Linked DNA regions of Coturnix japonica. The protein of the gene in region 2 purifies or fractionates together with the protein of the main gene of each other region. This does not show direct contact. Links are inferred from orthologs where the notes say so. Each region holds a gene or a part of one and is shown on either strand. Other genes may lie near its edges.

Region 1 (5,291 bases), about 40 Mb from region 2:
GCAGCAGGCTGTAGATGGTACGGCAGTGTTCTGTTTGTTGCAAGGGTGAAATTACAGTGAATGATGAAGGATTTTTTATTTCTCAGCAAAGGGATTTGAACAGCATCCTGGAGAATTCTACCCTATCAAATTCTAAACAGATTCCTCCCTGACGTTTCTGTATGCACACTTTGGATACTGGCACTTCAGTCCTGAAGCAAATTCTTGGCCAAGTATACAGCTCTAGTGGACGGACTGAGTATCTGGGTGATGAATCAACAAAAACAAGGAACCACCCTAATCAAGCTGGTAGAGTAACTAACACCCATAAATGCGGTTCCTTAACCTCCTGATTAAAATGTTGTAGTCTTAAGCTTTCCTAATGCATTTTATTGTCAATTTTCAGGCGTGAGTGTACATGCATACCCACGCAGAAACAGTAGCATGAAGATTTCTTCACCTTGCTCGGTACTCAGCTGTGGACAATACAGTGGGAGGAAATGCAGCCAGAGCAGCTCTCCTGAACTGACCGAAGAGATGCCCCACACCATGTAATGTCATGTTCAACAATAAAACTGGGGGAAGTTTGCAAAGAATTGCTGTTGCTTGCGGACAGGCTGGGCATTGGTGGACTGGTGGTAAATTATTGCTTTTATGCCATTTCCTTTGTTTTATTAATTTTTTACTCTTTTACTTATTGCGATGTCTTTATCTCAAATGATGAGTTCTCTCGCTTTTGTCCCTCTGCTTCTCTTCCCAGTCCTACTGGAAAGAGTGAGTGGGTGGCTTTGTGGTGCTTAATTCTCAACAGGTGTGGATGTATAACTCACAACACGAGACTGTGAATGAAACAGCAGCTGAAAACCAGAGTAATTTTCTGAGGAACAGGAGATAAACACTGTACCACCCAGAATAATTTAATTAACAAGCCTGACAAAGAAATCTTAACTAGCTGGTACAGCTTCACCTCAGTTATTTATTGTTCATGAAAAGCAATAAAAAATCCCTTGTGCTTTCCAACAAAAACAAGGCAGTTCATGCCCCTGCTGACTTTGTACTCTAGCCACCATTAAAAAAAAACACAAACCACAACAGACGTACCACAACTTCATGTAAGTGACATGACAATAGCAGCCTTTCTAAGGAAGGGTATGGTGAAGACTGTAAAAGCAGAGAAAGATTTACTCGTAGAGTCGTAGGGCTGTAGCTCCTTCCTGTCTTTATCTGAACAAGGCAACCTGTCAAAGTGAGAGCACACCAGACCAAGCCCTTCTCTCCCATTTGTATTATACTTGCAGCCAGCGTTTGTGTTATGGAACAACTTCAGTAAACCTTTGCCAGTCTTCATCTCATCTAAACACAGCCACTTTTGGTTAGGCTCCCTCAGCAGACAATGGAGAGATATGGGCATGTTCAAATCAAGCATGCCTTGCTTTAGCATTGCTCACTGCAACGATGGAAAGAATCATCTTCTGAAGGTTAACTGTGTCCTTTGACTTCATAGGTAATTGAGGTGACTACTTTAAACACTTTATTTTCAGACAACCATGATCAGGTGCAAGAAACACCCTGTCTTGATCTATACCACTTGAGACTTGTGGATATAACACATCATACTTGTGAATAACACACACACAAAACTGTCCAGGTGATACTGTCTATTAAAATAAAACATCTTCAGAGCCACAGCATCCCAGAATCACTGAAACTGGCGAGGAGCTCAGAAGATCTCTTAATTCAGCTCCCATCCCTGGCACAGGGTCGATTACAGCTGATTGTGCAGAGCCGTGGACAGTCAGGTTCTGAATATCTGCAAGGCTTCGGACTTTATAGCCTCTCTGAGAAACCCTTTTCAGTGTCTGATCAATCCCAAAGTATTAAAAAATAACTGATTGGGTTTTTTAATGTTTAAGAGGAATTTTCTCTATTTCATTTTGTGCCTAATGCTTCTGGTCCCATCACTGGGCACATCTCAGAGAGGAGGCTCGGTTTTCTTTATTCCCCCCATCAGGTAATTTATGCACACAGACAGACAAGATCCCTGTTTGTGTGAGTCTTTTATTGTAAAACCTGAAGAAATCCATAAAAATCTTTATATAGAAGCTGATGTAATAACTTTACATAAATGCACCCTATTGCATATTTATGTTGCCGTGATATAAAACACTTTGAAAGACTCTTTGCATACAACATACTTACTGGTGAACACCCAGTACTTCCCAGTCCTTCCCAACGTCCTTAAGAGCAATGTTCTGTAGAGTGCTTGGACAAATTTCTATCAGTTTGCAAAGAAGTGACCAACCCATCTGTAAAATAATAATACAGTTATTGTAGAACAGATACTCCATTTGGAACCCCAGCGTTGTGTTTTAATACCCCGGCTTTCAGAAGATACATGTTCTGAAAAGATACCTAGCTAAATGAGAGGTGTTTCATTAACACAAGACAAGACAAAGGACACAAAAAATTAAGAGCTGAAAGTAAAACACGCTAATGATTCTCAGTGCATCACCTGGAACAACACACCACCTTGAGGCTAGAGAACACACACACAAGAGATGCTGAGAGAGAAAAATAAGACAGGAGATCCCTGGTATTCCATCATGGGCCTCTAAAGATCACTGGACTATTGCAGCTGTTCCAGCTTCACTGAAGCACAGCACTCACCATAAGAATTTGATGCTTAATTGCAAATGATGAGGAGAAAAGATGTATTCAGTTTTGGAAACTGTCACTCTAAGTCAAGTGCCTGGACTTTCAAATAGCAGAAAAGAATGCTGGAAATAAACAAGATAAATAAGCTGAAATAAAATGCTCCTCTTTGGTTGTCCATGCTGGAGAAATCTGTTCGCTGATAGTGGAACAATGGTCTTTATCATTATGACAGCATGCTGGGCATATCAGCCTTCAAGCTGATAAAACTGAACATGTGGACGATAGCACTGAGCAAAATCCATGCAACAAAATAATTAGCTGATGAACAAGAAAACCCCGCTGTACTGGAAGAGAGGAAGAGAGCTGAGAAATGTCAAAAGTTCAAGACAAAATAGATTTCACGTATAGGAATGGAAACAAAGCATTCCTGGCCATGTTAAAAAAAGAAAGAAAAAAAGAACAAAAAGTGGAAGTAGAACTGTGCGCTGTAAAAATAGGGTTTAAATAGGAGACAACAATCCCTGTGGCAGGGGGGTTGGAACACGATGATCCTTCCAACCCAAGCCATTCTATGATGCTATAATTTAGGTATAGCTCAAAAACAATAAGCACAATTAAACCAGATTTCAGCAGGAGAGCTATATAAAGTCAAGAGAAGGTCAAGACAAGACAGCTACCAAAAACAGGAAAGTAAGCGGGCTTTTCTGTGGAGTCTAACTGTATAACTGCAGAGTTCACAGAGATTCTGTGATCTCTAATCCTGCAGCATGAAAGACAAGAGACACAAGCAGCACAGACTACAAACTTGGCAGCTTTCATGACCGCTTTGGCACGTCTATGAAAAAGGTGATGTAGCTCCCAAGGCAAGAGAATTCTGAGAATACTTCATAGGTCACAGGCACCACGTTCACGCTGTCTGCAGTAGCTTTGCTTTTGTTGTAGTGCACATTTGCAGAGCCAAATATTTTAAGGCGATTTAACTCTTCAGCTCAAACTTGCAATTTGAGCTTAACCATGAGTCAGTTGTCATGCTTTTCCCTTGCTTAGGCAGTGAGCTGAGTTGTTCCGTGTTGAAGTGTAAACCAATTACTGTGGACAGTCAGGAAAATTAGGGGGTTGGCATGATGATCTCTAAGGTCCCTTCCAACCCGCACGAGACTGTGATACTGTGAACTAGTCTAGGCTGTGTGACGGAGTCTCAATCAACTTTTGAAGAATAGCATCCACCAAAGCTCCCCAATATGGGGTTATATATCATCTAATTTTCCATGTTCAAAGCAACAAATATCAAATCTGCAAGACAAATACATTGCAGAGGTGACCATTAATTGATACCCTGTAGACTACTGAAAAAAGATTCTGAAATACCACTTTCTGCCATAGGAACTGCTAAACTTAGAACCCAATGAAAATTAGCACAGTGACTTTACAGAAGTAACTTTTGTACTAAAATGGACTGTAATATTGATGTTTCTATTGATCGCTTTTACTTGCATTATTGTGACTCCAAGTGTGCCAAACATTCGTAAGGACTGTGTAGTCAGGGAAGTCAGAAGCAAACATGTGACCCAATGATATGTGGTCAGTTTTACAATATTAAAATCACAGTCTGAGATAACAAAGAGCTCATTATCAATTTACAGTTCCATAAGCAAGCAGAGATTTTTTAAATAACAGAAACACTAAAGGTTACAGGGGACAGAAAAAAGCACAGAACACAAAGATATTCTTAAAAGCATCTGAGCTTTTAAGACACAGACAGCTGATAGCAGCACTGAAACTCTTGTTATTTTTAAATTGAGTCCTTTTCATTTCTAGCATGCAATGAATTGATATGACATTAGCTCACACCCTTCTGTGTGACACAATAAAGCTCTGCTGGCTGCTCTTTCCTCAAGTGTGTACAAATTCCGCTCCACAGTTTCTAACCCACTCCAGTCAGCGTCAACCAGGAATTGCATAAAGAAGCTGCCACGTTCACTTAAAAGATGTCTATTTTACTTCATGGTGGTATTGACCTTATAGCTCAGTCTCTTTCTACTTATAAAGGAGCAGTAAGGCTTATGCCCATAGCCTGACTTGCACTGACACCTGAAATATTGAGCTGTTAAGCAAATTGACTCTGTACAAGCTGGTGGAACAGCAACAGCACACAGTGCTTTGCAATTGGTGAGTATGGGATGGCAAAGAAAATCCTCATTTCAGATACAGCTCTCACTGTGCTTACTCTGTTATGTGAGTCACTTTTATCGCAATGCCAAAAGGGTCAATCAATTTATTCAATGAAAACTCATTAGCAGTATGAAGAGACTACAACGAAATTGGGGCCACGTCCTCTTGCTGCTGCCATAAGATTTTGTATTCACAAAGGTTGCAATGGGTGCAGCAAGGAAAGCAGCCCTGCTGAGACACTGTGGGTGTTTGCAAATACTATAATAGAACATGAAGAAAGAGCTGCCCATGGCATTTTGTGCAGATTGGAGCTCTGCGCTGCCTCTGAGCTTTGTTTTGATGCCTTAGTACAATGGAGTAATGCAAAGAAGTCATTTTAAAGCTCTGCACCAAATCAAAGTTGAGATTTATACCACTATTAAAATGAGAACTAAATGATCTTTCTAATGGAATTCTTAAGAGCCTCATGCCACCCTCTCAGATCT
Region 2 (6,930 bases):
AACACAAAAATAAAAACGTAACAAATTGAAAGCATGCAAAATAAAAATGTAATGCTCATCCACGGGTCAATCATAGTCTTAAGGAACAGCTTGTTTGGATGGCAGCATCCAACAGACCAAACTATGTTAAGCACTATAAGATACACTTGCACACTGGAAGTCCCAAAATAGCATTTACTATTGCTCAGCCTTCACAAATGTCCACTTGAAAGGTCTTTTATAAATATCTTTGTGAATTGCAGCTGCTTATTCATGCAATTTCATCATGAAGTCTCTATTATAATCGTCACTGCAAAGCACAACTTTTTCCTTTCTAAAATAATGCTGGTGTTAGGAGAATTCCTTTGTTACAGAGCTAGCACTAAAGTTAGTACATATCTAGGTCAGTGACTTGTAGAAACCCTAAAGAGATGCCAAGAATTAAAGACCTGGAAAAAAAGAAAAAAAGAAAGAATAAGAGAAAAAAGAAATAGGGAATTCACTTCCACACATCTCTAGGCACTGATTCTGTTGATGTTTAATCTAAAAGTCACGCTCTCTTCTGTCATGTAGGTATTTCTATTATAATACCTACACCTCCTTCACAGAATCACAGAATGACCCGGGTTGGAAGGGACCTCAAGGATCATGTAGTTCCAACCCCCCTGCCTGGCAGGGCCACCAAACATACACCTTTACTAGATCAGGTTGCCCAGGGCCCCGTCCAACCTGGTCTTGAACACCTCCAAGGACGGGGCATCCACAACCTCCCTGGGCAGCCTGTTCCAGGGCCTAACCACTCTCCTAGTGAGGAGTGTCCTCCTTAACACATAAAAGGCCATAACTCAGTTTTCTTCCCTGCATCTCATTTTAGCTCAGTATTAATGTGTTTGGTTGAGGCACCTCAATACAACCTCAATATCCCTTGCCACAAAGCAAAGTATCGATATCAAAGACATCATAAGGACAATAGGGTTTGCGTAGCATTCCCAGCCTCTACACTGCTTCACATTTCAGCAACACAGCTGTAAGGTGGCAACTGAAACACTGAATCAGGAAAAACAGCACACCTACTGGGAAGGACAGCGAAACCCTAAAATAGCAATACATAGTTGGCCGTGTAAGGGTGCCCTGCAAGTCCTATCATCGGCAGTTTTCTTAGCAGATTCCATACCAGGGTACAGAGATGACTTTTACAGTCAACTATGGGGGAAAGCTTGGAGTCACACAGCACTTAACCAAAAATATCTTAAGGGACAACGCTGTTAAAAGGCAGGTTTCAAAAACACATGGAAGCCAATTCTCAGCAGCAAAACCGTCAGCCCTAAGGACATATGTGAGACATCTCCAGAAACCTGGGCTGCCATAAACTACATTGAAAGGACTAAACGAATACAATCTTAAGTATGAAATAACTGCAGAAAATAACTACAGAGTCACTGCGTCCATGAAGACAATTATATTTTTCAGGAGCTGAGACTTAAACAAAAGAACAAAATTTGGCTACAGTTTCCCATCCAATTTGCTACATATTTTCCTGAGGTAAATAAAGGCATTCAAGCTGGTCTCCTAAAAGATACAGTACCACTATACCTTACTCACAGGTCTTAACACCAAAGGGGTATTAATACAGAAGGGCAGACTACTCATTTCCACTGTCTTCTTTCCTGGCCTGACTACGGAAGTTTGAAGCTTCAGCTTAGTCAGTGTTGTTATGAGTCAGAATTCATGGTTTGTCCAGGTCTCAGGAAATCCAGGATTACCCTTTTCCCATCCCAAAAGACAACGTGCATCACTTTAACCACTGAGGGCTGCGCCCTGTTAAATTCCCATTGAAGAAGTTTGTATCACCACTCCATGGACAGCCATTGGAACTTCGGTTCCTAGTGTTGACACCGTGTCCTGTCACTGATAATGATTCAATACAGGAAACAGTCATCTCATATTGGTTCAGCAGGACCTGATAAACCTGCATATGATGTTCGTTCTGATCCTGTGTGAGAACTCATGGGACCCACCCAGCACTAAATTTGTGATATTCCAACATTGCCACCATCATTTCCAATGCAATGAAATTGATATTTAGGTCTGCACACAATTCTCTGCTTGTAATCTGCTGATCTGTGTGGATGAGCGGACTGAGACGGTCTTCATTTCATGATGTGACAGCTGTGCATGGATGTGTGGAACATGGCTTGCCCTTCACATCGCTGTCACCGCAGCTGAAATGCACCACCCACTGCCTCACTGCACTCACATCCAATGTTTGGGCTCCATAAAGGTTCAACAAGCATCAAAGAATGACAACGAGTGCCATTTTTTCTGCGGAGGAATTCAGTTCCCCACATTTGTTTCATATGCGCTTCCATATCAGACACCACTTAGTCAGCCTGCCCCTCTGCTGCCATCTGTTACACCGCAACATAATGTAATGAACAGAATATTGACGGGAAGGTTCAACCTCTACTGCCAAAGCACCTACATCCACCTCTGACACTGTAGGCCAATACAATAAACTAGGAGGCATGACTTCCAAAGTAGCCTCTGTATGCGAAAATAGTCCTATGTACTCCATGTACTTTTAAGTTAACTAAGTTAACTAAGATAAGGTCGTTACAAAAGACTTCAGCACATTGGAATGAAGCTGAAAGGCATATTTCCATGAATTTCAAGTATAAAAACATCACACCTCTGCTTTACACCCTTCTGATAGAGAAATAAAAAAACAGCATTGACAACAACAAAATCAGTTTATATTGTTAATATAATGAGATTGGAAGTTTCTACACAGCAAAGGGCTCCTGCGATCAGCAGAAACCAAGGACCTGATATAACTGACCAGTACAAAGTCTCCTCCTCAGCGCCGGTGTTGTGGATCTCTTTTATAAGGCAGCTGACACAGAGTCTCTGAACCAGCTGACTGATGGTGGTTAAGCAAAGGAAGAGCTGCCTACCCTACAACCACACCACAACTGGCTTTGAGGAAAGCCATGCCATGCTTCAGCTATAAGCTTGCAGTCGGTGCCTTCAAAGCCATGTAACGATACCCAGCTGCAGAGCATCTAGCACAATTCTCTTGATGTCAGCCTACTATTGTCAAGTAACGGCATATATTCAATAAATAAAAAGAAAGAAGGTGATGTACTAAAGCCAAGTTTTGGTTGTGTTTAATGTTTCATTTTCACTTCTCCTATGACCGCCACCGTTCTGGACTGGAAGTTATGCTGAGGAACAGCGTCCCGTTTGGACGCTGGGTCCTCCAGAAGGGTTTGGAGTCCCGTTTGGATACACCAGAAGGATCTGAAGTCCCGTTTGGATATATCAGAAGGGTCTGGAGCCCCGTTTGGATACATCAGAAGGGTCTGGAGCTGCTCGTTCAGCCCCTCAGCGTTACCAGGCTGGGACACACTGTAACGCCAAGACAGGCCGCTTTGGCTGCCAACAAAGAGGTCCTAAAGGCGGCACAACAGCTCAGCGACCCCTCAGCACAGCCGACACCCGCAGGTGCCGTCCCTCTGCTCTCCATCCCTTCAGCTCAGCGGCCCGTAGGCCGGGGGGTTGCCCCGGGGAGCGCCGCGGCCGTTAGAACCGGCGGGGGAAGGAGGGCGGTGGCACGGGCACTCCCAGCGCCAACGGGGGGGGCCGCGGGCACAGCTAAGGGCGTCCCGGCCGCCCTCGTCCCCCCGTGCCCTTGGAAACGGAGACCGCGGCTCAGCGGCCCCAGAGGAGCAGGGGACGAGCCGACATTAACCCGGGGCGGTGCGGCCCGGTCGTACCCGCCGCCTCGTCCCGCCCCGCCTCACCTGCGTGCCCACCACCACGATCTGCGGCAGCTGGATGATGTCGGCCCCCACCGTGTTGAAGACATCTTGCAGCTTGTTGATCACCGGGATCAGAGCCTCCATGGCGGCGGAGGCGGACACAGCCCGGAGGGGCTGAGGGAACAGAGAAAGCCGGGGAAGACGTCGGCGATGAATGGGCGCGACGGGCAGCGGCTCCCGTCAGCCGCCCCCTCCGCCTGCCGCCATTGGAGCCGGCCCCCGCGCACGGCGCGGCCCCCAGCGGGCAGTGCGGGCTGAGCGCCGCGGGGATCCACGGGACATGTAGTGAGGAATGGGGCCGGCCGCACTGGGCCCAAGGCCTGTGGAGATCGTCCATTCGCTTAGGTGTGCTGAAACCAATTGCTCTCAGAGCTATTAGGATCATTAACACAGAATCACAGAATGACCCGGGTTGGAAGGGACTTTCAAGGATTCATGTAGGTTCCCAATTCCCCCCTGGCCTGGCTAGGGCGCCACCAAACATGACACATTTTACTAGATTCAGGTTTGCAGGGCCCGTCCAACCCCTGGTCTTGAACACCTTCCAAGGACGGGGCATTCCACAAACCTCCCTGGGCACCTTGTTTCCAGGCCTTAAACCGACTCTTCCTAGTGAAGAGACTTCCCGTCCTAACATCAATCCTAATCTTCCCTCTTTTTAACTTTAAAACCATTTCCCTGTGTTCCTTGCTATTAGTCAGCCCTTTCGAAGAGTTTACTCCCCTCCTGGGAGTAAGTTCCCTTAGGTATTGAAAGGCTGCAATGAGGTCACCCCGCAACCTTTCTAGGCCTGAACAACCCAACTCAACTCATACAACACAGTGTATTGCATATAAATACATAAGGATGTGGAAATTAAACCTAGATCTGGATGTTTCTAAGCTACTAGTGGTTGGAAACAGGGTGACTGTCGTGCACAAGCGCTCAGTGCTTGACCTTTAGTCCATCCCAATATGGCTATTCTTAGAATTTAATCAGTGTAATATATTTCATTAAGAACACAGTGAAAATATCATTTGCCAAAATGTGTAGAGATAACTCAGCTTTCCCAGCAGAACTGTCAAAAAATACCATCAAGGACACTATACCCACATGGAGAAACACAACTTAAATGGATGAAATGAATTAATGAACAGAAGAGAAACAAGAAGAGCGGACTAAATAAGACTAAATAAGATTAGGAAACCCAAGGAAGAAAATCTTACCACATTGTCTATTTCTGGCTAAAAAGTGGGTTCTGGAAATACCTTTGCTATAAAATGTTGTGTCTATTACCAACTTACCAAAGCCAGCATTTACCTCAATCCAGAGCAACTGCACCAAAGCAATCATCATTTTGGCAAGCAGTGACCATCCTGAGCTTTAATTATCTAATTTCCTTAATAGGCTTATGTTGTACAGGGCAAGAAACTCAAAGATCTGATAAGAGACAGACTGGTTTTTACTAAAGGTTAATTAACATAAGAAAACAGGAACTGCCGCACTGAATCTGACCTGATATAAATCTACCTCAGGATGTCATTTCTGAGTACGTTAAGCACCAGGATTCCTGGGGAAATTATAAAAGTATGGTAATAAGATCTTCTGATCACAGTCCTGTGTATTAAATCTGATTTTGTCTGTAAAATCTGAAGCTGACAGATCAACGTGCCTTCTGTTTTATCGATGCTACTTGAAACCAGATTGTTCTGTTTGCATTATACCATATAATATATTTCTGTGTGCCATGGAGTAAAATTCTTGGCTGCAGCAACATCCTGCAATAGTAAATTTCATGATCTAATTACTCATATTGCAAAGAAAACCAATTTGGTGTCAGCTTTGAAATTCTTGTGTCCTAATTTCATTATAAGCTTGCTTGTTTTCGTGTCTGAAGTCAGAACAAAATTAACAGAATTTCCAATTCTCCTTCTCCACTGTGTGAATTTCTTATACTGTTTTGCATCATCAGCTGCTTCCTTTAACTCAGACAAATCGCCATCCCTGGATGTGCTTAAGAGGCGTTTGGATGTGGTGCTCAGGGATATGATTTAGCAGAGGGCTGTTAGAGTTAGAGTGCTATGGTTAGGCTGCGGTTGGACTTGATGATCTTCAAGGTCTTTTCCAACATGGGTAATTCTATGATTCTATGATTCTATAGTGACATGCAGAGAAGAGCAGACCACTCATCTGCTATTTAATGACTTCATGCCAGAAAACTACAAGCTACCATGACATTAAAGGTTATTTCCTTGCTGTCATCTTTGTCTAGAGGAAGAAATATTTGATAACCACATTTTAAAGTTTCAATTATGTAATGTAACATGTGCAGTGTGTACACCACCATACTACTTAGTACTGCACAAAAAGTAATGGCAAAATATTTTTGTAAATTATTCCTTGATAATGTCAACTTGGCAAATTCTCAATACAAAATACTACTTTTCAACATAGGTACCATCATGAGCTACACCACATTTTCACTGGCAATAAATAAGGTCCTGCATGCCATGCTCATAAAAATCTTCACCAGTGGAAGTGACCCACTGTTTCACAGCTGCTATGACAGTGTAGTTGGTAGGAAAATGTTGCCCACACAGTCCATCTTTCATTGGCCTGAACAGATGGAAGTCAGAAGGTGCCAAATCTGGACTATATGGTGGATGTTGTAGGACAGTCCAACCAAGGTTGACAGCGTGATTTTCATACTGGTATGGCACCTGGTGTTACGGTGTTGCAAGAGAAGAGCTATCTTCTTCCCCAGACTGACTCTGGAAGTTTGAGCCTTCAGCTTAGTCAGTGTTGTAATGTAGTAGTCAGAGTTGATGGTTTGTCTGAGTTCCAGGAAATCCAGAAGGATCACCCTTTTCCCATCCCAAAAGACAGCACACGTCCTTTTACCAACTGAGTAATGCATCTTGAACTTCTGTTTCCATGGGGAATCTCCATTTTGACAGCTCTCCATGAACTGTTCTGACTGGCTTATAGTGGTAACACCACCTCCTGTTATTGGCAGTGATATGATCCTGGAAACTGTCCCCTTCAGGCTCTTCGTGTTACCCTCCTGGCACAAAATTTGTGATATTCCAATGTTGCCACCATCATTTCCAATGCAATGAAGTAGATATTCAGCTCTGCACACAATTCCCTG

The links. Proteins that work in one complex are often made in the same cells at the same time.
Region 1: the proteins of DNM1L (region 2) and LRRK2 purify together in Homo sapiens (co-immunoprecipitation; 6 studies listed by BioGRID and IntAct, with this or other methods). This does not show direct contact. The link is inferred for Coturnix japonica from reciprocal best matches to the Homo sapiens genes DNM1L and LRRK2.

The regions. Positions count from the first base shown.
Region 1 is NC_029516.1:13,506,102-13,511,392, forward strand, and holds part of LRRK2 (leucine-rich repeat serine/threonine-protein kinase 2), read right to left. Parts: exon of another isoform or gene 2,328-5,291; coding exon of another isoform or gene 2,286-2,327; coding exon 2,179-2,285; intron 576-2,178; exon of another isoform or gene 386-575; intron 289-385; exon of another isoform or gene 87-288; intron 1-86. UniProt on the Homo sapiens protein: Serine/threonine-protein kinase which phosphorylates a broad range of proteins involved in multiple processes such as neuronal plasticity, innate immunity, autophagy, and vesicle trafficking.
Region 2 is NC_029516.1:53,515,156-53,522,085, reverse strand, and holds the start of DNM1L (dynamin-1-like protein), read right to left. Parts: upstream 4,045-6,930; 5' UTR 3,885-4,044; coding exon 3,783-3,884; intron 1-3,782. UniProt on the Homo sapiens protein: Functions in mitochondrial and peroxisomal division.